2 linked regions of the Struthio camelus genome follow. The protein of the gene in region 2 interacts with the protein of the main gene of each other region in a pairwise test. Links are inferred from orthologs where the notes say so. Each region holds a gene or a part of one and is shown on either strand. Other genes may lie near its edges.

The links.
Region 1: the proteins of RBM15 (region 2) and NAV2 interact in binary tests that used the Homo sapiens proteins (3 or more experiments, as listed by UniProt). The two-hybrid records come from large-scale screens. The link is inferred for Struthio camelus from reciprocal best matches to the Homo sapiens genes RBM15 and NAV2.

The regions. Positions count from the first base shown.
Region 1 is NC_090946.1:31,808,157-31,819,861, forward strand, and holds the start of NAV2 (neuron navigator 2), read right to left. Parts: upstream 4,991-11,705; 5' UTR 4,888-4,990; coding exon 4,630-4,887; intron 1-4,629. UniProt on the Homo sapiens protein: Possesses 3' to 5' helicase activity and exonuclease activity. Involved in neuronal development, specifically in the development of different sensory organs.
Region 2 is NC_090965.1:4,445,157-4,456,396, forward strand, and holds the start of RBM15 (RNA-binding protein 15), read left to right. Parts: upstream 1-6,122; 5' UTR 6,123-6,206; coding exon 6,207-9,092; 3' UTR 9,093-11,240. UniProt on the Homo sapiens protein: RNA-binding protein that acts as a key regulator of N6-methyladenosine (m6A) methylation of RNAs, thereby regulating different processes, such as hematopoietic cell homeostasis, alternative splicing of mRNAs and X chromosome inactivation mediated by Xist RNA.

The sequences.
Region 1 (11,705 bases), on a different chromosome or scaffold from region 2:
GGGTGGACCTGTTACCAAAAAGCTAAAACTTCTTTTTTAAAAGATCCATCAACTGAAAACTCCTGTATAGGACAGAAGAGACGACTGCTGTACTCAGCTCTAATGAGTTAGAAGATTGTCCAGTTTTGAACAGAACTCTTAACAAAAGATCTTGACAAACTGAGGAGAGTTAAGTAGATAGCATGAAGAGTTATAAGAGTTATATTTCTAAATATATACAGAAAAAAAGAGAGGAAAGGTTGAAAGTGGGTTCGTCTAGGATAGAGAAAGAGAAAAGCGAGGGAGAACATGATAACCACTCAGTGATCATTTGCCTTCTGAGTCTGACACGGGAGGGACAAGTAGTAAATCAGTTTGATTTGCAGCAAGGGAGGTTTAAGTTTGCTATTTGCAAACACACAAAACCCCCAAAATACTAAGGGCAGCTAAACATTCAAACAAGTTGGTTAAGGTAGTAATTGAATCCCTATTTACACTTTCTTTAATACTAGGTTAAACAGATGCTTATCATTAGTGACTCAGAGTAACTTAGGAGGAGGACAGGTTCAATAACCTCCTAAGGTCCCTGTTCTTCCCTGTGGGGCTACTACAGCTACTTAGATACAAGCAGTAATTATTTTTTAGGTTCTCCAGAGAAGGAAAATGAAGCAGCTACAGAATATAATGTAACATCAAAGAACACGTTAACTGAATCCATGATGTCCTTTAGCGGCTTCCACAATAACGTGGCAACAGACTGTATTCCTGAAACAGTACCTTCTCTCTTGCATCCTGCCCACACTTTCACCCTGCCCAAAGACTTCTGCTCAGCCATGAGTTAGTTCTGTCTTAAATAATTAATGCAAAGTTAATAGTCAAATACAAATGACTTTTTAAAATAACTAATAAATACCATTTTGTACATGAGAGATCACTATCTTGCTATCTATTCGATGGAAGTTTCTCTGGTAACAAAGTTAAATATTTCCAAAACAATGCTCTGTAAACATGGGCATAATTTACTGGCGGTGTTTTCAAATTGGATGAATTAAGTACCAGTGCAACAGTAGGATACTGTTGTGCAAAACACAGGGAATTTAGTATAGAAAAATGAATGAAACGGGTAAATCGATGACAATAAAATAGGAATAACACTGCTATGATTCATCAGCCTAAGATTTCAGACTAGCACTCGCAATGGGCTTAATGCTAAAATCCTCAGACCTTTCTTTGGAAAGTGGCTCTGAAAGGCACTGAAGAATGCCTTTTATAAATTGTAGAGCATTTAAAATAACATATCGCCCTTATATGGCATTAAGGCACAACACTTCCAGTTGTCATAAACTCCAATTTACTCCTGTAAAATCATATCCAAAGAAAACAAATTGAGAAGCTGTCACTGATACCACATTTCCCAAGTGTGATGCCTTGATTTTCAGTATTTTTTCAAGTTACTACTCAAATTAATATCAGTTGCAGCGGCCAGGATCTCCGAAAAATCAGGCTCAAAATACGTACAATCTGAGAGACATGGCTTCTTCTCTAGAATGAATCAGTAAACTAAGTGCAGAGAAAAAGGAATATAAAAATTCAGAATGAGAGTATATATACCATGATGGGGGAGGAAAATTCATAGGCACACAAAGGTAAATGAATACTTCCTATCTTTTGCATGTCCCACGTTATCTCTTTCCTTGCACACAAGTGTCCTAAACATTAGGTCAAATTACTTGTTCCCTGTCCTTATTCTGTACATGCAAATTAATTTTCAATTATACAGTGCAAAGAGAAACAACTTCAGCAGGATTGAGAGCAAGTCCCCCAAATAGTCCCAGAATAGCCTGTGTCCAGGTGATTTAAGAAAGTTTCTGGAGATATGAGAGAAGTTTGAATTCTCTTATGTTGAAATAGAAACTGAATTCAGATTTCCCACCCTCTGGGCGCTCTAACTACCAACCAGTTCTATAAAAGTAATGCTGCTCTTCTGGTTGTATTGAAAGTAGTCTGGTATCACCTCATTTTTTTGATAAAAATAGCTTAGGCCTCTAACTCTGGAAGAGAATTTGGGGCTGCAAACTCCAGGTTCATCCCTGGCAATGAATACAGCACGAGATACATTGATTTTGCTCATTTTTATTTGTTCTCTTAGGCTTTTGCTCTGAGTATCAGAACTTCGTTCTGCCTCTCGCTCCACCCATGCAGAAGGATATATGTCCTTCCTGTGGGCTGCAAATTCCACTTGGGGATCCAGATCTCCAGAAGAGAGGTGCCAAAACATTCAGTGTTAGTCTGATTTATGGATCTAAACTCTCTTGCAAGGGCACAGAGGATGCTAGGTGCCTGCATAGTAAAATGGTGGCAGTAATATTGATACTTCAGATAAAACATCCAGAGAAGCACATGATCACCATACGATGCGCATATGGTTCTTGAGATATTTAGTCCTAGGGATTCAACCTCAGGAGATTTATTATCAGCAAGCACCTCTATACCTGAACGTAGGCTGAAGGTTTCCTAGGGGAAAAACGTTCCTGTTGCTGACATACCATCTGGCAGGTGTCCATCCATCCCACTCCTCCTCCTCCTTAATGGAGGAAGAGAGAAAAAGGAAAGAACAGTGTCCCTGAGGCAACTGATCTGGAAAAAACCTCCCTTGAGATATAGACGAATGTCCCAAATTAGTACCTTGAATGGCAACACCATGCATGCTCACGTGGGCAGAGGGATCAAAGCTGCATCAATAAGAACCACGTGAAAGGACTGTTTATCCAAGACAATGGAGAGTAAAACAAATCTCACTGGTTCACACCTTAAAAGGTGCTGGTCATCTGCTAAGACTACTGCTTGAATAAGGTTACTGAGAATGACAAACTTAGGATTTCTCCCACTGCTTTTAGTAAGAAGTTGTTCAAAATCCAAAATTACCTAAAATTCCTTTAGTCAAAATTGCTTCTTGTTTAACTATAATAAATTAGCATGAAGACTCTTTTAACATCAGTATATACAAAATGTGCTTTGTTCCACATGTGTGTAAGTGTTAAAAAAAACCACTATTCCCCTTTCTGTTGTAAGCTGCTACCACTCTAGCAGGATCTCTCTGATTAAAATCTATTATAAGATGAGAGAGTATTTATGAATAACAATCACTTATGCAGGAATGTAAATTTCTATGCAGAAACCAAGGCGTGTCTGAGAGAAAGAGCACTATACAATGGGATTTTGCTGACATTTCATAATGATGAGGACAGACTCCAGCACAAGCGAAAAATAGTACTCGTTTCTCTCTTAAGAACATGTGATGCGATGCACAGGTCGGTCAGCCTGCTGCCATCACCCCGACACCAATGCTTGCCTGTCTCCTTTTTCTGCTTTCAATCCCTCAGGAACTGCTACAGTCATATCAGTCTGGCCTGAGACGTCACCCTGTCTACCAGCAAAGAAAGTGCAGCATATCCTAAAATTCAGGGCACAGGGCCAGATACACCCAATCAGCAGTCACGCTTTTCTTAAGAGAATGGGTTGTGAGGCCACAGATTTAAACATTTACATGGCAGGGATGACCCATTATTCTTTGAGGAAGGAAAAGAAAAAAAGATTAAGATCAGACATCACTTCCCTATCCCAGTATAGCAGTACCACCTTCTACCAGGCTCAGATGTCTGCAGAAGCAGCTTGTAATGTACATGGCTGTTTCCAAAATACATCACGCTACTATACAGCAACCTTTATATAACGTTAATCAATTCTGCTTGCTGCAGCAGACCATCTGCTTTGCTCACATCGTAGTATGCTAACACATACTATCTGCTTACACTGCTGTTGAGCACACTGGGGCATCAGCAGTACAAGGCAATCTGAGCCATGCTGAAAAGGTTACTATGCTGATAAAAATAAAACAAGCTGAAGAATGTACATTTCTTCTCTCAGTGCAGGAAGCAGCATATGTAAAAAACAAAACAAAACAAAAAACAAAACTATTACACATCGAAGTAAAATCTAAAAAATGCATATTCATAATGTGCTGCATCTGTGATGCCATGCACTTATAGCACAAAAACCAGATAATTCCACGTGCATATTAATTTCTACATAATCTAATCTAGCTGTACTGAGAATGATACTGTAATCTGATCTAACATAGAGCATACTGCCTCCCTCTCGCTCCCCACACAACCTCAAATATAAAATGCTCATACTCCAATACAGCACACTACCAAATACAAAATGAATTCACTACAACCAGTGATCTTTCCACACCACAGATAGAGAAACCAGCCATTACCATCAGCACCTACAGAAAGAGCACAAAGAGCACACCCCATAAACAGTCTCTCTCCCTTCTCCCTCAAATAAACCTCGCAAGTTCAAGCACAGCCAGTATACAAGGCAGCACAGAGAAAGAGCACACACAGCACCATCCTTCACAACCCTACTGTCAGCTCCACCACAGTAACAAAATTAAAATATCACCCCCTGGTAACACATGCCACTATGTGCAACATGAAGCATCCCACCACCCTAGACAGATGTTATTACATGCATACACACCTTGCTCTTACCTCTACTCGCACCACTGCTACCTACCTCAGAAAACACATACAATACATAAATTCCCCCATACACCTCCCCAAAATTTTGGTGTTTTCTAACCTGTGTGTCAAATCCATTTTCTACCGAGCTACTCTTCCTTGGTAGGAGTCCATCTCCTGCATTTTCTTGTCCATTAGGAGATTTGAGAGGAATCTGGCTGGAATACGAGGGCTTGGTCACCTCCACCTTGTTCCCAAACTTCAGGTAGCAGGGTTGTGGGATGGTCCTTGTCGTTGGGACATGCAGGATTGGAGCAGCACTGTGTACGGGTTTAGGTAGTCCCGATTTCATTTTGGAGGCTACCAGGATGGCTGGCATTTTCTCTTTCTGCTTTCCTAACACGTTTCTGTCAGCAGCAGCAATAGTAGAAACAGCAGGCAGGGAGAGAGAAAAGGACACGTCTGGGAAGCTGCTGTACTGAAACAGCCTGGTTTATGGCAGGGATCTTCAATATCAGCTTAGAATAAAAAAAAAAAAAAGAAAAGAAAAGGAAAAAAAAAGACAGTTGTAGCCTAAGATATCTCCCAGCTTTGTGTCAGCCTTCCACCTGTTTCCTCTAATTTTATTTTCAGTTCTTCACCACTGTCCTCCTTCCTTTACTCTCCTATTCCTGCTGCTATTTAACTTGCTCCTTCCTTTCACTGGCTGACTCCTGTAATTTTCTTCCCTGGAAATGGGAGACTTTTACTCCATTATCTTGTCACTGCATCTCCAAAGTGAGGCAGCCTTTTGGAATAAAAAAAAAGAACCTGCTGCTGCATATGCCTCCTGTTCTGTATGCACTAGAGAGCGAGCGAGTGAGCAAGCACCAGGATTTCCAGCTTAAGATGTCTTTCTTCAGTCTTAGCCAAGAAGCAGATGTAGCTCAGTGTGTTAATGACTGATGCCCTTGGATATGAGCCTTAGAGAATCAAGCTTCTTAAGTCTTAATATCTGTGAACAGGACAACAATGATGCTGCAGCAGAAGGAGAAACGTCCACTGACGACAGTTTAAATAAAAATACGCCAGTGGTGACAAAATTTCCTGGATCCCCCAGTGCTGATCATGAAAACCTGGAGAAAAAATTCAGCTGTCAAACAGAAGGGAAAGCAGCCACCACCTCATTTTAAACACCCGCACTGAAACAGGTTTCAGCACTGAACGGCTAGCACATTGTGCGTGTTAAAGGCAGCCTGCTGTGCCAACACCAAAGAAGGCTAGGGAGATTAGCCGGAGCAGGAGAAGGTTGCAATCTGACAGCACCGTAAAAACAGGGCGGCCCCCGGATTGGTCCTCCCGACTCAAATCAGAAACAAAATCTCTCCGCAAGAGAGGAGTGGCTTCAACTCCTCTGACTGGCAGGAAACTCCATGACGGTGCCAAAGTACAAAGCCCGGTCTGTGCAAGCTGTGCTGCAGTGCTCACGGCGGAGCTGCTCCAACGGGGAAGATGCTTTAGAGGCTGCACACAGGGAGTTTCTTACCAGTTTCGAAAAAAGCATTTTCAAATCAAAACACCTGGAGATGACTCATTGTTCAGCTTTTATTCAGGAAAACTCCCACTGCCAGTATCAACAGGAATTTGAATAAGCACTGAGCAATCTAACCCAATTATAACAGCACTTGGCACTTTGCATTTAGGAATCCTTCAGCGCAACCCAGCGATGCGAGTCACAGGTTCCTCCCCATGTTGCTCTGCTGATAGCATGATTCATTACAGCCCCCAGATCCCTCGTTCTAGCTAAATATTGCACATTTTTTAGCTCTACATATCCCTGTTTCTGCCCACAGTACACCGTCCTAGACAGGGAAGGATTATAAGCATGGAAATTCAAGGCACTGAGAGATAGTTTAGGACTCATCAGGAATTTTAGCACCATGATATACAGTGTCACAGTGCCTCATTTTCAGACAGCCTGTAACGACAGCCAAAGGCCCTGAGTTACCCTGTAGGCTTCTTGCATTGCATACACAGTCAGGTGCCTCAGAACAAGATTCACAAAGCCAACACAAGACATTGAAAAGAAAGGTTTCTTTTAAATCCTCATCACAACCCTGCATGTTGCATTACCTTTGACTAGTGGCACTTCCTTCACTTTTATGTTCGTACCTGCCCCTTTGCCTAAGATTGGACCGAATCAGTACAAAACCAGCAGGAGGGTAGCGATAGGAGGGATCCCAGCAAGCAGAGAGAAGCAGTGAACCTATCCTTGAAGTACATCCTGGACGAGTGTTAAGCCACTGAGCTACTTGGCAGGACAGAGGAAGCACAAGCCCACTACTGCACACAGCCAAGGCCATCAGCATTGCTCCCAGCAAACATACCAAATTAAACTTCTCAGATCATGTTGACTGAACCATGCTTAGCAACCCTTTTCATGGGGGAGCTGGGTCCTGGCTATCCGACACCCTCATGTGTTTTGGTAGTTTTTAATATGAAAAAATAGGGAGGTTTTTACACCTGAGACCTTTTCAGATAGAAAACTGAGGCATTTCTGGACTGTAGGTATCTCCAGGATTAGGCAGCAGGATTAGGATAGCATTTTAGGATTTAGGCAGCTAAATTGGAAATCACATGAGACCTGCATGCTGAATCTTTCTGTGGATGTCATCTTAAATGACTTATCCAGGGTTACACAGTGAGGCAGCAGCAGTACTGCAAATTAAAGTGAGAGTGCGTGCTCTGTTGATTGCAAAGCACTGTTCTTCCTCAACGTTTCAATGTAAAAGAAGTTCCCTCTCCACAAACAGAAACCTCCGTTTCAGAACACATTAGCTGTACTATGGGTTGGTTTTTTTTTTTGGGGGGGGGGGAGGGGGTGTTTATGAGTTTTTTTGGATGTCTCCCATTAACTAGATTATTCAAAACAAAAAATAAAGCCTGGACATACTATCCTCACTGCAGTCTGCCACGTCTCCTGCTTAGCACTGCCCACTGATTCCATAATTAAAGTTCCTCCACTTTATGTGAAGTCCACACGTTAACTAGGGGTTTTGTTGTCATTGCTGGAGGATTTTTTGGCACTCCTGCTTTCACATATACCAACTCTGCAGACTGCTTTGCATTAACTCTGAGAAGTTTTTTTTTTTTTTTTATGAGTAACTGTATTTTCACTCTAGTCTCTTTTATCCACTAATCTCAGATTACAAACTGCTCATCCTCCATCCATCCATCTCATTGAGATAGATACTCCAATGTTTATTCCATTGGCATAGCATGATGCACAGTCTGTTTATAAACTACTATGAAGAAAATTTCAAAGCCAAACAACCTGACAAAGTCACATTTACCATATAAAAGGACTGGTAGTTAGGGGAGCAGAAATGTGTAAAATGCTATGATACTATTTCTATTGTTCAGTGCTGAAAAACTTAGCCTTGATAGCTAAAAAAAGGTTGGACTGAAAGAAAACCTTGAAAAAGATCCAAGTCCGAAAACAAGGCTAATCTTAGATCTGTAATAAAATATAACAATATTTAAAAGCTATTAGAAGATCTAACTGACAGCTTTATTTTCTGTTCTTCACTTACATCTTTTATTAGGTTCAGGCCACCAATACCAGATACACAGAACTTGCCAGGTTTTGTTACTCTGTTTGTATCTTGGAAAACTGGCTAGGTGACAGGATACCAAAACAAATACAAAGTTAATTTGAGTAAGTGACAATTATTCCTTTCATTGTTACTTTAATAATTATTGAAGCTCATCCTTTTAAGATGGTCAATTGAATATCCTAGCTGGAGGAGACTGCTTTCTCTATTTCTTGGTATGTGGTCCTGTTTTCTAAAATGAGAGAGTTGTTTTCTGAATACCCGCAGACTATGCTCCTGCCAGCTGTTTTGCTGAATCAGCAATGTGGACCCAAGATTTACTGTGAATTCTTGATACACTGCTGAAGAGTGGCCTAGAATTACTGTGCCTTTCCCTTATGGGGTCAATAAAAAGTCATTATCTAGGGGCAAAATTTTATATTAATAATCCATTGCCACCTAGTACTTTTTTTTTTTCTTCATGTTATCCATGCTTTGTTCTATCTCTCCAAACACTACAGTATAATGCCACTAAAATGCAGTGGGAGTACAGCCATAACATGAGGTCATAAATTATTAATACGTCAAGATACAAGCTATATTTGCAAAGATGGACAACATGAATTTTGGTCCATCTTTAGAAATTATTAGTTATTATTTATAATTGGATTTATGAACTATACCTGTTTCTAAAGCTCAGATTTTCAAAAGAAATTACTTTTCTTTGACAGTCAATGACATCTGCGAACCTAACTTCCTTATCCTCTTCAAGAAGTCCAACGAGTTTTCTCCTTTTTGAATCAAATATCTATACCTCAGTTAGCTTTAAGATGAGAAAATAATATTAACTATCTAAACAGAAAGCAAGAGCATCATCATTCCTGCCACAAGTATCAGATGAGCCTCACTAGGGGAACATCCCCTTGCAGCTTTATGTTTGACTAGATCTTGGCTTGAATAATTATATCTTCCCTCTTTCCCCCTTACACACCTGTGGTCCAGCAAGCATCCACCTACTCCCTGGCTGAGGGGATGTGGAGGAGAAAAATGCTATAAAACAGGCATTTTACTTTGCAGGGTGCAGGGGAGTAGTGATATGGATATTTCTAAAATCAGGAGATGCCACTGCTCAGGATTCAGATTGTGCCTACTTAGTACCCCATAGCATCACCTGAAGTGCCAAGACTCTGGTCTTGAGAACTAGCTTAATATCCTTGAAGTTTTAGTGAGCAGACTCAAACGAGCTAGAGGCCTTAACACATTGTGGAAACTATTTGAGTACTTTGTAGTTCAAGAGCTTACAGGCAAGCCAGCACATTTTCCAAAACACGACCAGTAAACAGAATGAAAAACAACAAACTAGATGAAATATATACTGTTTCCAGAACTCAAACCATTGAAGCTGCTTTCATTGCTGAGACACTATCACATAACAATAGAACAGGATCTCCAAATCCAAGTAGAAAGAAAATGCCTACATGGATTGCACATGGATGTTTCAAGTAAAACAAAAAGCATTATGAAATGCATACGGAGGATCAGAGAATCAGACCTTTCTTTCAAACCTTATTTAATATCCATCCACAATGAAGCCAAATGTTACACTAGTGCAAGTGAAAAAATACATACAATTCTTATTGTAAATTAAAACCTTGCTAACCGGCCTGATAACTCAGAACTGCTGATGGAACTAAACTCATTCCATGCTTGAAGACACCTTTATTAATGCTTTCTTTGTCTTTCAGGCATGATAGATATATCTGAAAGCTCCAAGATAATAATTTCAAGTCCAGTTAAATGTTCCTAAAACGTCACTAGGTACTGCCAATATCAGAAGGTTTAATTGTTCCTACAAAAGCAGTCTTGTCAAGCTTCCCTCCTGCCAGAAGGCTAGCTGTCCTATATAGGCTGTGGGCATAGTCGGCCTTGGCACAACTCCATTAACCTAAGTGGAGCTACGACAGGGATAAATATGGACCTATTTTTGGTACTGCTGGCATTTTACACATTCAAATCCATCTTTTGTCGCTGATCACACTATCAAAGAAGTAAACGTCTGATCCTGTGTGCAAATTTTTGTAAAAGCCTAATCCTGCCTGCAGACCTATGTCACTGTTTTTCATGAAAGAACTTTATAAACATGTAAATGGGATCAAGTGCCTAATATTTTGTTGTCTTCCCAAATGAGGAACTCTAGCAGTTAGAAAACAGGAACATTGGTAGAGACATTATATAATTCAGCATCCTTTCGCCACAGCAATTACAATCTGCACATGTGAGGTCTTTATATAGAGCAATGAGAAAAGAAAAAAAACTGGGAACAGAACCAAGTTTTCCTCACAGAAATCTTGTCTGTATTACACTAACTCTGATCTAAAATGCCTTCTGTAATCCTCCAACATATTTCTAATTCACACTGGGTTGACTCCACCTCATTTTATAACTCTGTTTACGTTAACAAATAAACAAGGTAAGGTCCATCTGGGTAGGAAATACCTATTACGCTCATTTTCCGGAGGCAGACAGAATATGTGAGACGCACTAGTGATGCAGGCAGAAACTTCTGCATGGTGACACAAAATGACACTGTTTTAAGTGAGCATCTTCTGAACAATGTACTTATCTAATACTGCTGCTGTGCTAGAACATTTTGTGTAGTTGTGATGTGAACATGAACGGCAGAGGCTGGCATCACAACTGCACTGACATAATTTGCCCATCTGATTCCAGACTGGCATTTTTTACATTCATGTTGCATTTATCATTTGACTGCATGAACACCTAAGTCCGGTAGGACTTCCTTCAAAGGCTACATAAATTTATATTGCCTAGCAAATGCATTTTGATCAACATCTGTTTCTCCGATTTTGTAATGTTTCAGGTGCTTTTGGATCTATAGCCTTGGCATTTGCTCAGAATCTAATAAAAAGGAAGAATTAGAGGTCCGTGTGCTCTTAGCTGGCCGGAGACAGATTTATTAATGCAGATTCTGTGACAGGCCTTGAAAAGATACATGCCCCTCTTTCTGACTCAGTTTGCACGTAAATAAATTCCTCACGCTTAAACTCATCAGGAACAGGAGTGGAAGAGGAGAGGAATGCAAGAGCTTGTTCCATTAATACTTTCTGCAATGCTCTAAGATTTAAATACATGATATATATGTCTATACTGTAGTCACAGCAGTGGCCACTATGTAGCATGCATATGCCTGAATTAGCTTTACGTTCCTAACAGACTAGCTGTGTCCTGCCAACTCACAGGTCACCTTGATTTACTGATTTACTTTTGTGATTGTAAGAAAAGACAGAACCTTTTCATGCTACTGACAGCACCTGGAGTAAATATTTCAATACCATTTTAGAAGGATCCTTGAAAATCAAATCTCCGCAAGAGAGATGTGCATCTGGGTTTTCTTAATCCATTCACGTGCCCTTTGTTTCCTCAAGGTTGACAGTACTAGCTCCTGTATTATTTTATGCCTGGTGTGACACTGCCTTTGGCTTCTTGTATTAGGAAAGGCTAAGAAAACACCTGTGACTAGAATCACATCAATGAGCATATCACAGAAGGAAGGTGGCGGTGATTGAAATACCACAAACTACTCTTAACTTTAATAACCGTCAAG
Region 2 (11,240 bases):
AGAGAGGCACAAGGCGCTCTGCAAGTTGGTTGGCACACGGGGCCATCTTCTCTGTACCCCTGGGTGGACACTGGTCCCTCTGCAGGCTCCAGCTCAGCTTTTCAAGGGTGCTTCTTGTCCTTTCCCAGCTGCTAGTCCAAATGGCTGAGAAACATCTCTTGCTGCAGGCTGTGTCCTTGCTTTTCTCCCCACTGGGACAGCAGGGAAAGGGCCTCTGTCTCAGCTGCTCAGAGCTGGGAATCGGTGCCACTGGCTGGCTTTTCACAGCATCCTTTAATGCTGCCTCTTCCTCCCAGAGCAAGTGCCACTCATCTTGAAAATGTCACGCATGGCTGTGATGCTATAGCTCAGAGCGGGGATAGGGGGGCTCTCCCCCCACGCCATTTTCCACCTGTCTCCTGGCCTCCATTCAAGGACCCGACAGGCACCCAAGAGCCCCAGCTGCTTGTCCGCGGCGTTAGGAGCCAGGCCTCAGTTGTTCGGATCGGCTTGGGGTCCCCTCATCCGGAGCTGCCACCTGTTTGCTGGCAAGACACAGCTCGTGCAAGGATGCTGCAGTGCTCGCTCATCATGTCGCGGCTATGGCAGTGTGTCTCTGTGCAGTGACATGGCAATGACTTGAGCGGAGGCACCAGCCGTTTAAAGGCGCCGGCCTGCCTGGATCGTTATGGGCCTCATCTCATCGCAGCGCAAGTGCAAAAGGGTTAAGTTCTTCTGGGCAATGCTGCTCCTTCTGAGGTTGGACGGCCTCATTTTTCTCCCTGTTTTCCAGAGGGAAGAACGGAGGCACAGAGTGATGATGGACCAGATTGCTGCCCCTGGCATGCTTTTTGGTCAAAGGGTCTCTGAGTGGAGGAGGATGATGTGGTGAAATTAAGCTCCTCCTAACACAGATAGCAACTGTAAGCCAGACGCACCAGCTTGCAGAGGGCAGATGGACCGGAGATGGGACATTAGCCAATGGAGCTGCAGCCCATGGATATACTCAACCTCCCTAGGTACCATGAGCTTCCTTGGGCTGCATCCCTGCTCCAGGAGCAGCAGGGCCCTCCCTTGCTGCGGTGAGCCGAGAAGAAATGCACCGAGGGCTTTGAGGCCTCGGTGTTGCAGAGACGGGTACCCAAAGTCATCTGAGCCTCCATCTCATATGGAGATCACTGCCCTGAACGTGGCCATCCTTGGAGCATGCCGGGGGAGGACAGCTGGGGAAAGGGCAGGAGGCTGAGAGCATGGAGGGAGCCCGGCAGCTCAAGTCTTTCTCGTTATGGGTTAATGCCCAAGCACCAACCTTCCTCTGGACACTGATCTTTAGTGAGGGACGTGACCCTGCAATGTGATCCTGGATCCCCAATCCCCGAGGCTGCCTTGATCCTCTCTGTACTTTGGGGGTTTATTCTTCCCTTTCCATTAATCTCTGAATATTAGGTGGAAAGTGAACAATTACTGTGCTAATGGCTCCATAAACTCCTTCATTACTTATTAAACTCGAGCACTCCTCGCTCAGCTGAGAAAAAGAGATGAAATGGCGAAGAAAAGGGCTCCGAGGGTGGCAGGAGGGGCTGCGCCAGGGCAGAAGGCCCAAGCTCATCAGAGCAGGCTCTGGCCAGGGCTGCAGGTGGAGGGGCCGGATCAGGCCCCAGCAATTAGTGGGCTGCCGCTGCCCTCTGCCGGCAACGGGGCTTGGGCCTGGGGGCTGCCTGCCTGACCCTGCTGGGGTAGGAGAGGGGTTAGCCCCGGGACAGGCTGCAGCCTGAGATTGGGGCTGCGATGAGGTCCTGGGAGCAGGAGACTGGGGAGTCCGGGGGTGGAGGGAGGGGAAGGGAGGCAGCCACCTCCGACGGTCTGAGATCCTCTGCTGGGGGACCCAGGTGGTGCTGGCAGAGTGGGATGCTGACAAGGATGCTCGCAAAAAAGGTATGTGGGAGGGAAGGGGTGAAGGGACCGCCTTGCCTGGGGAACTGCTGCAAAAGTCATCCCTAGAGCCTTTGGGATGGTGCTGAACTGAGCGTGAGCAGGGAGGAAGGGAGCCTGGCTTTAGCTACCGGTTAACTCAAGCAGAGTCACTCCTGATTGACCTCGGTGTGAAGCGCAAGGACGCTGATCCCTGATCTGCACAGGGATGTGCTCCTGGTACCCAGAAGAACAAACAGGCAGCGGGACCAGTTCGTGCCTGACCCCTCCAGGACAAGCGAGGGATAAAACCCAGAGAAATTCCTGGTGGTTGACACTGCATGTCTAGAGGGACTGTCACCATGTGAGTGTAATAGGAGAAGAGCTGATCCAGGAGACCAGACTGGCTGAGGACTCTTGAATTCAACCCAGTCCTCTGACACTGCCTCCCGGTGAGAGTGCCGGCACGTCCCAGCCACCTCTTGCTCAGCTGCAGAAAGAAACCGGCTCCCTCCCTGCTTTCCTCGAGGTGCTGGGAGCTGCCTTGCGGATCGCTGCCAAACCTCACCAGGATCCCGCAGGGTGGATGTTCTCCAGCTTTTTCTGCTTGCGAGTGCTAGATCCGGGCCATTGCAGAGATCGCTGCGAGAATTGCAGTGACTAACCAGGGGAAGCTTTCGCCTCCCCTGCGCAGCGTTCAGGTCAGAGTGCAAGACAGCTCACTTCTGAGCCGGCAGCTCGCGTCCCTGGAGCGCTCTTGTGGCCTCGCCTAAGTGAAGCTAATGTATTTTGATGTCTCTAATGGCCAGCTGGGACGCAAGTGCTCCTCCAGGAAGAAAGTTAGCCTGCTTGAATACCAAACTGCGGAGGCCAAACAAACACCTCCCCGGTTGAGGCGCTCACAAGTCTTTTGCCAGTGTCAATCAGTGGCACTCGGAGCTGGTTTGGGATCGAGGCAAGGAGCCCTCTTTGCCTCTCCTCCTAGGTCAAGTTGACCTGTTCCTCTAAGATCTTCTCAATCCAGACTTTGAAAAGGAGACATATAGTTAAACTGCTAGAGAAAGGCTTTTGCAGAAAACGGCAAGTTTCTTTGGTTCTGCAACATGCAAGTATTACCCAGGATCAGGCCAAGTCCTCAAAGGTACTTGCATGCCCAACTCCCATTGACACCAAATGTAATTAGATGCTTATATCTAGGCCATGGGCTCAAGGGCCATCTGGCACCTTAATTATTTATACACATATATAAACACAGACAGTACTCTTTATCTAGTCTGGGCCTGGGGGGAGATTCCTGCTCACGCTGTATTCTTTCTCATGGCCTGACAAAACGTGCTCTTTTCCAGGGCTCTTTTCAGGTGCTGCGTTTCCTTTCTCCAGTGCCAAAACCCGCTCTGAAATGCCTCAGTCCTGCCGAACTGTCAGTGACCAGTTGCCTGTTGCAGAGATCTATCTCTGACCGCGGCTGACGCAGCGGCGGAAGAATCCAGGAGAAGATTCCCCCCTTTGAAGGAGCAGATTGGAAGAAGGGCTGAAATCAGATTAAATGACAGACAGATGTCCCTTTGGTGATGTGTCCTATTGCTCACCCAAGGTGTCTTTTAAACTATGAGTCATCAGCCGAGGAATTTTAATTTCTGTGTTTCACACACAAACTGAGGCACCACAAGGAAGTGGTTAGGACCTTGGCAGAGTCTGGGGAGTTACAAGTCTTTATCATTAACTGTTTAACGTGACGCTTTTCCTCTCAAGCCAGTGGAACGGTTCCAGTTTTTACCAGATGTAACCTCAAAGATGAAGCTGAAATAAGGTAAGGTAGGTTTCCTCCCGTTTTCATCTCGCCTCCAAAAAAGGCTGGCCAAGGAGCGAGGCTCCTTGGTGCCTCTGTGATTCTCCGACGGAAACCACAGGAAACCCAGAGGGAGAGCTGGCTGCGAGGGGTATTTGCACTGGCTGTGGATGCATCTGATGCACACCGACGTGGTGGGATTTTTTTTTTTTGGTTGTTTTAACTGGGAGCTTCTGCTCCCCGAAGCAGGTTGCGGCCAGGTCGCCCTTCTAAACTGATCCCACCCTGAGCTCCAGCAACCTCTCCGACAGCCCTGGCATTGGAACTGAGACGTTGCTGCAAAATGTTAACACCCAGATGGAATAGCATTTTATTTTTTTCTAAGGGGAGGGAAAAAGAAACCCCGCCAGAGCACTTTCACTCGGTTGTGTCTTCCCAGGAAAGCAGCTTGAATCAGACACGAGCAGTGGTTGCAATAAGCCCGTTTGGCAGAGTCGTGGATGATGCTGTGTTTCTAAGACACCCGGTACCGCTCTGCGCCTGTGACTCTAGGCCTCTTTGGCATTCCTTCGGATCGCTGTTATCTGGGTGATCCGCAGCCACATAATTGTATCTGTCTTCCATATACTTTCAGGATAATTATATCCACATGAGCCAAGCAGGCCCGTCTCGGATACGCATGTTAGGTTAACTCCCTGTCGTTGCATGGGAGAATCTCATTTTCAGGAGCCCGACATATATTTCAAACACAATTTTTCTCATTCCTCGGTCTATATTTAGAGAGCAGCTATTTACCCACCATTTAAAACCCACCCACGGTTTCAGGAACTGCTGTGTACCATCTCTGTCAGAAAGCGATGATATGACAGGGAGAAATGCAGTCTAATGGCCTGCTATTAAAAAATCAGATTCAATTCCCCTTCTGTTGGATTAAGCTGCTCCTGGGGAGCTCTCTTGTTTCCACGGGTGACACGGAGATGCGGGGACTTTTCAGACAGTAAACGTGGCTCGGGGGGGCCGTAGCAGTGCCGGGTTAAACCAAGTTCTTCCGAGCGCGCTTGCAGGTTTGCGTTTTTCTCGGACGTTTCCGAATTTCCAAACCGAGCATTTTGAGGGCAGCCAAAAGAAAGGAATCGAAACGCCGCGGGGCTGCGGAGGGGGTGCGAACTTCGGGTTGGGGGGCGGGCGGCCGCAGGGCCAGCGGGAGGCAGGGGTAGCTCTTCCCTTGGGGGCGGCAGGGCCCGCCGCCCTACGCCTTTCTCCCCCCGGGGAATCTGAGTCTTTATTTCCGACGCAGAGGCCAAGGGGAGGCTCGGGCGGGAGCGGGAGGTGTCCAGGCCCACGCGGTGTCACGCAGCGAGCGGGAGCCCGGTCAGCGGGGTTAGAGCCGCTTCGGTTGGACGGTGACTGGAATTCCCTTAATATAAATAACGTCTTCTGTGACAGAAAAATTGTAAATGTGGGAATACTGGCTGGTCCGGCTTTTCTTTCTTTTTGTGCTTTCCTTTTGGCCCCCGCGCCCCAGCCGTTGACGCACCGCCCGGCCTGAGGAAAGCAGAAGAGACCAGCGCCCCTCCCCCCACCGCGCGCCCCGGCCCGGCGCGCTCTGAGCTCGCCCCAGCAGCCGCACGGCGAACGCTCCTGGGGAACCACCCCCTCCCTCGCTGCAACCAATCAGAGTCAGAGCAAGCGTGACTGACCGCTTCCTTACCCTATCCGCAAGCTACGCGGCTGCACCCAATCAGATGCCTGGGGAGATTTTCTCGCCCAATCATAAACGAAGGGTGAAGCTTGGGTAGCAGCCCGCGCTTCTTCGGGAGAGGCATAGGCTTCAGCCTATCAGAGCAGCAAAGGAAAGGTTACCAGTGGCCAATGAGGACAGAGGGCGGGGTTAATACAGCTCGCGAGAATTTGAGAGGGACGATGGGAGCCCGCGTCTCAGCCAGCGAACCAATGGGAAGCGGCGAGGAGGGGCCACAGCCAGGACCGTTGCAAGTGGCAGGCCGGCGAGCCAATCGGAAAGACGAGTTGAGCTAGCCCAATGGCCAAAGAGCGGGGGCGGTCCCCTACCGTGGAACGGTTATGATTGACATGGCAGCCCGACCAATGAGAAGGCCGTTCTCGTTCTAACCGTCCACTAAGCAAACGGGGCGGGAAGAAGTGCGAGCGGGGCGGCTCCTTCCGCGCCCTCCTCCCGCAGCGCGCGAGGCCGGCCCGGAGAAAGACAGCTCGCTCGGCCAATCGGAATGGGCACAGAGGGGGGAACGGGCGGGTCTTCCGCCAGCCAGCCCTGGCAGCGCGAGCGCCCGCCGCGCGCGGAGGGGGCGGGGGGTGGGGGTGACGCGCGCGCCGGCCAACGAGGGCGGCGGGCCCGCGTTAAGCGGCCAATGGGCGCCGGGGGGGCGGGGCTCGTAGCCGCGGCGGCTTCCAAGATGGCGGCGGGTGCGTGAGCGCGGCGGGTCAGTCAGTCAGTGAGGCCGGCGGCGGGGAGCAGGGCCGGGCGGGGGGCGCCGCGGGGCCGGCCGCCATGAAGGGCAAGGAGCGCTCGCCGGCTAAAGCCAAGCGGTCGCGGGGCGGCGGCGGCGGCGAGGACTCGGCGTCCTCCTCCTCGTCGGCGCGGGGCGAGCGGAGCGGCAAGAAGCCGAGCGGCTCCGGCGGCTCCAACGGCAGCGGCGGGAAAGCGGCGGCGGCGGCGGCCTCCACCGAGAGCAACAGCGGGAGCAGCCGGCGCGGCCCGCACCCGGACAAGGCCGGCCGCGCCGGCAGCCGCGAGTACGAGGCCGGGGCGGCGGCGGCGGGCGGCGGCGGGGGCAGCCGGCACGGCTACAGCAGCAGCAGCAAAGCGGCGGAGCCATCGCGGAGCAGCAGCAGCCGCGGCGGCGGGGGTGAGTCCCGGGTGCCGGCGGCGGCCCCGTCCTCCTCCTCCTCCTCCTCCGAGCCGGGTGCCGGCGGGGAGTACAAGACGCTGAAGATCAGCGAGCTGGGCTCGGCGCTGAGCGACGAGGCGGTGGAGGACGGGCTCTTCCACGAGTTCAAGCGCTTCGGCGACGTGAGCGTCAAAATCAGCCGCCTCCCGCCGGGCACCGGGGCCCCCGACGAGCGCGTGGCCTTCGTCAACTTCCGCCGGCCCGAGGATGCCCGCGCCGCCAAACACGCCCGCGGCCGCCTCGTCCTCTACGACCGCCCGCTCAAAATCGAGGCTGTCTACGTCGGGGGTGGCGGAGGGAGCAGCCGGCGGCGCAGCAGCCGCTCCCCGGCGCTGCTGGACAAGGAGTCCCCCTACGGCACGACGGCCGTGGGAGTGGCGGCCGCGGCAGCCGCCGCTGTGCGGCACCCCCCGGCTGGGGCAACGCAGCGGGCCTTGTCGCCCGCCAGTAGCGGAGGAGCCCTGGGTTATCGAGACTACCGGCTGCAGCAGCTCGCCCTGGGCCGCTTGCCGCCTCCGCCCCCTCTGCCCAGGGAATTGGAGAGGGAGAGGGACTACGGAGGTTTCTACGAAGCGCGAGTGCGGCCGGCCTATGGGCTGGAGCGCGTGGCCGGTGTGGCGGCTGCCGGGGGCTTCCGCGGAGGAGGAGGGGGTGCCGGAGCAGCCGGTGAGGAGGAGATCAGCCCCGAGGACGACCAGAGAGCCAACCGCACGTTGTTTCTGGGCAACCTGGACATCACCGTGAGCGAGTCTGATTTACGCCGAGCCTTTGACCGTTTTGGGGTCATCACTGAGGTGGACATCAAAAGGCCAGGCCGTGGGCAGACCAGCACATACGGTTTTCTTAAATTTGAAAATCTGGACATGGCGCACCGGGCCAAGTTGGCCATGTCAGGAAAGGTGCTTCTACGCAACCCCATCAAGATTGGGTATGGTAAAGCCACTCCAACTACCAGGCTCTGGGTGGGCGGCCTTGGGCCCTGGGTGCCCCTTGCTGCCCTGGCCAGGGAATTTGACCGTTTTGGCACCATTCGCACTATTGATTACCGCAAAGGGGATTCGTGGGCCTATATCCAGTATGAGAGCTTGGACGCGGCACAGGCAGCGTGCACCCATATGCGTGGCTTTCCCTTGGGTGGGCCGGATCGCCGACTCCGCGTAGACTTTGCTGACACTGAGCATCGGTACCAGCAGCCCTACCTGCAGCCTCTGCCGTTGCCACCTCCTGCTCATTATGAGCTAGTGGCAGAGGCTGCTGCATTTGGGGCTCACCGGGGGGCCCCGCCAGATCCTCTTCGGGGGGCTCGGGACAGGACACCACCGTTGCTTTATAGAGACCGCGACAGAGACCTTTATTCTGAGACAGAGTGGGTGCCTCCGCCACCCCCTGTGCGGGATAGGAGTAATCGGGCAGCTGCCTATGACCCACTGGAAAGCCTAGATCGCCGTCGGGATGGTTGGTCCTTGGAGCGGGACCGGGGGGAGAGGGAGTTGGGCACTAGCAGTAGGGATCAGCCTAGGAAACGGAGACTGGCGGAGGATGGAGGCCGGCACTTGGACCGTTCTCCGGACAGTGAGCGCTCTTCTTCGTCCCGAAAGCGTCACTGTTTAGCCACAACCTCTCCCCCAGACCGCAGCCCTGAGCTTGTCGGAGGGCGGGAGCGCTATAGTAGTGACCCAGAACGCTCTTCCTCCCGTTTGCTCCTGTTGGAGCGGCCCTCGCCTATCCGGGAATCGCGCAGGGGAAGCCTAGAGCGAGGCCAGAATGAAAAACGCGACCGCAAGAATTCCGCTGAAAGAGAGCGGAAGCATCGCGCTTCTGCAGCAGCTGCTGCGCAGGAGTGCAAAAGTCCAGCCAAAAAGGATGAACGCGCTACGGAAGGAGGCGGTGGAGGGTCGCGGCTCAAACCTCCGCCTCAGAAGCAGCAGCAGGATGGAACGTCGCAGGCCGGGGGAGCCCCCAAGTTGTGCTTGGCTTGGCAGGGGATGCTTCTGCTGAAGAACAGCAACTTCCCGTCCAATATGCACCTGCTTCAGGGGGACCTCAGCGTTGCCAGCAGTCTCCTCGTGGAGGGAGCAACTGGGGGTAAAGTAGGTCAGCTCAAGATCACACAACGTCTTCGTCTGGACCAGCCCAAGCTAGACGAGGTCACTCGTCGCATCAAGGTGGCAGGTCCCAATGGGTATGCCATCCTTTTGGCTGTGCCTGGCACATCAGACAACCGCTCCTCATCTGGAGCTAGCGAGGCTGCCACCACCTCCACCCAGAGGCCGCTCAGGAATCTGGTGTCCTATCTAAAGCAAAAGCAGGCTGCTGGGGTGATCAGCCTCCCTGTGGGGGGCAACAAAGACAAGGAGAACAGCGGGGTCCTGCACGCCTTTCCACCCTGCGACTTCTCCCAGCAATTCCTGGACTCCACGGCCAAGGCGCTGGCCAAATCAGAGGACGACTATCTGGTCATGATCATTGTCCGTGGGGCATCCTAAGGCCCTTGTGTTCTGTACCCAACCCTGCCTACTCCTCCACACAGCCCCTCCAGCGTGTGCCAGGTGCTATGGGATACAGCCTTAGCCAGCCCTGTCATTATTTTAAATTAGATCTTTGTTTGTAGGTAACTTTCCCTGCCCGTTTTTCTGTTACTACATTTTTCTATAAAGTTAGAAGCCAGAAAGGTTGGTTAGCCATTAGTGTGAATAGGATATTGTGAGAATCCCTTCTCAGTGGGGATAGCAGGGAAGCTAGGCCTGCTTTGATTTACAAAAGAAAAGAGCAAGAGCTGGGGGGGGGGGTGGGGAACCAACAAACTCCCGCCTTTTTAATTTTGATTCGTGTCCTTTTTTCATTTCATATATTTTTAAAGCAAATTCAATAGCTTGTCCTCTAGAGTTACAAACCTAAAAGACCAGATTTAAAGCACTCGGTAGTTTAAATGGAAAACCACACACTTAACAGTGGACTGGTGTCAACTCATTTTTGAGTCATTGAAATTCTGTGAAGGCCTCAGGCCAGCAGCCCTTTGGCCTGACTGATCCCTTTCATCAGGAGCCTGAATGGTTTCCCTTTGAGTTGCATGGCTCAAGGTTGATTTCTTTCAGGTGGCTAGCACCTGCTCTTGGGTACACTGCAGAACATTAATTCCTTTATTGGGTCTTTGATAATTTCAGCCAGTCCACCAAAATGCATGCACTGAAAGGATGCTTTTTAACAGGTGTATTTCTCCTATTCCTCTGAGTTCTATTGTATCCCATGTATGCACTTTGGGTTTGTAGCAGTGACAATGTTTGGTGAATAGCTGAGGACTTTGTTACAAACCATGAATGTCTTGTGCTTACTCTCGTATGCAAGAAACAAGGAGGTGCTTTAAGAATAACTTTAGTTAATATTGTGGTTTTTTGTTTTTACTGCCTTTTTCAAAGAGTTGCAGGTACAGTGGGGTCTGGTTCCACAGTGCAAACTCTAAGCAAGTATGCGTCTCTCCAGAGATGGCTTTTAATTCTGTAATAATTTAATTACATAAAAGTTCTCATTATCATTTTACCTCTTTGTTAATAGCAAGAAACTGCTGTCTGCTAGAGACTTTTCAGGTACAGTACAGGGGGCATTACATGAGGTTTTTTTAGTCATCTGGACTAAAGTGTTTTAGCATCTTGAAGAGGTATTAGAAGTACCCCAAAGTGCTGTGATTTGATCTGTTGTTTATGATTCTATGAGGAAACGTTTACCTTTTTCAAAGAACTTGGTTCACTTTCTCTTGTGCTTTCCCCCCCTCAGTGGGCACTTTTCTCCAGTTACCTTGGACACCTTGCTAATACAGGCATTTATGAGGGAAGAAGGGATCTAAATCCCTGTTGTTCTGTTTTACAACTGAAAGGGGGTTGCAGCTAGCTTCTAAACCGAAGTGTAAATCTGACTATATCTACTTACACTTTAGAGGCCCTAAAATGTAATCTTGCACTTAAAACCAGAATGTAATCTTGCACTTAGCCGCGTTTTCAGAAACCTGGGCAATATAAAAGCGATGCTGCTTTGCTCAGTAGATCTTCCAGGATCTTCCTGGACAAGTGTTACAGGGCTGAGGGACAAGTTAATTTCTATTTCAACTTATGTGACAAAAAAATTCAAGCTCAAAATGCGGACTAGGTTGCTAATAGTATGTGAAGGAGGAGATGTCTTGAATGTATTTTATAGACACAACAATCGCTTTTCAGGTGTGACTATGCTTGCTTTAGATTCGCTATCGCCGACATAGGAAATTCTGCAATATTGCTTTCCATAGTCACTCTTCAGAGGAGTGCTCCAGTTCAAATGAGGTTTGATATCCTTTTTTCATTTTTTTTTTGACAAAAATGAGTAGATGTAACCCAGCCATTGTGGTGAACTTAAACGTGGCAGAATATCCTCAAAACAGGTTTTAGTGTTATAGCTACTTTTATTTCTGTATGGAAACGTATAAGCCTCATCTAATGCTCTTAAATGTTTGCGGGCGAAATCCAGGATTTCTGGATTGTTGTCCTTCAATGTGAATGTAACAGATATAGATGGCAGAATTCAGCTGTTCACCTTACTATTAACAATGAGAATTTTTGGAAATGACACCAATAATGCAAATAACTCTCTGTATGTTGTAGAAATAC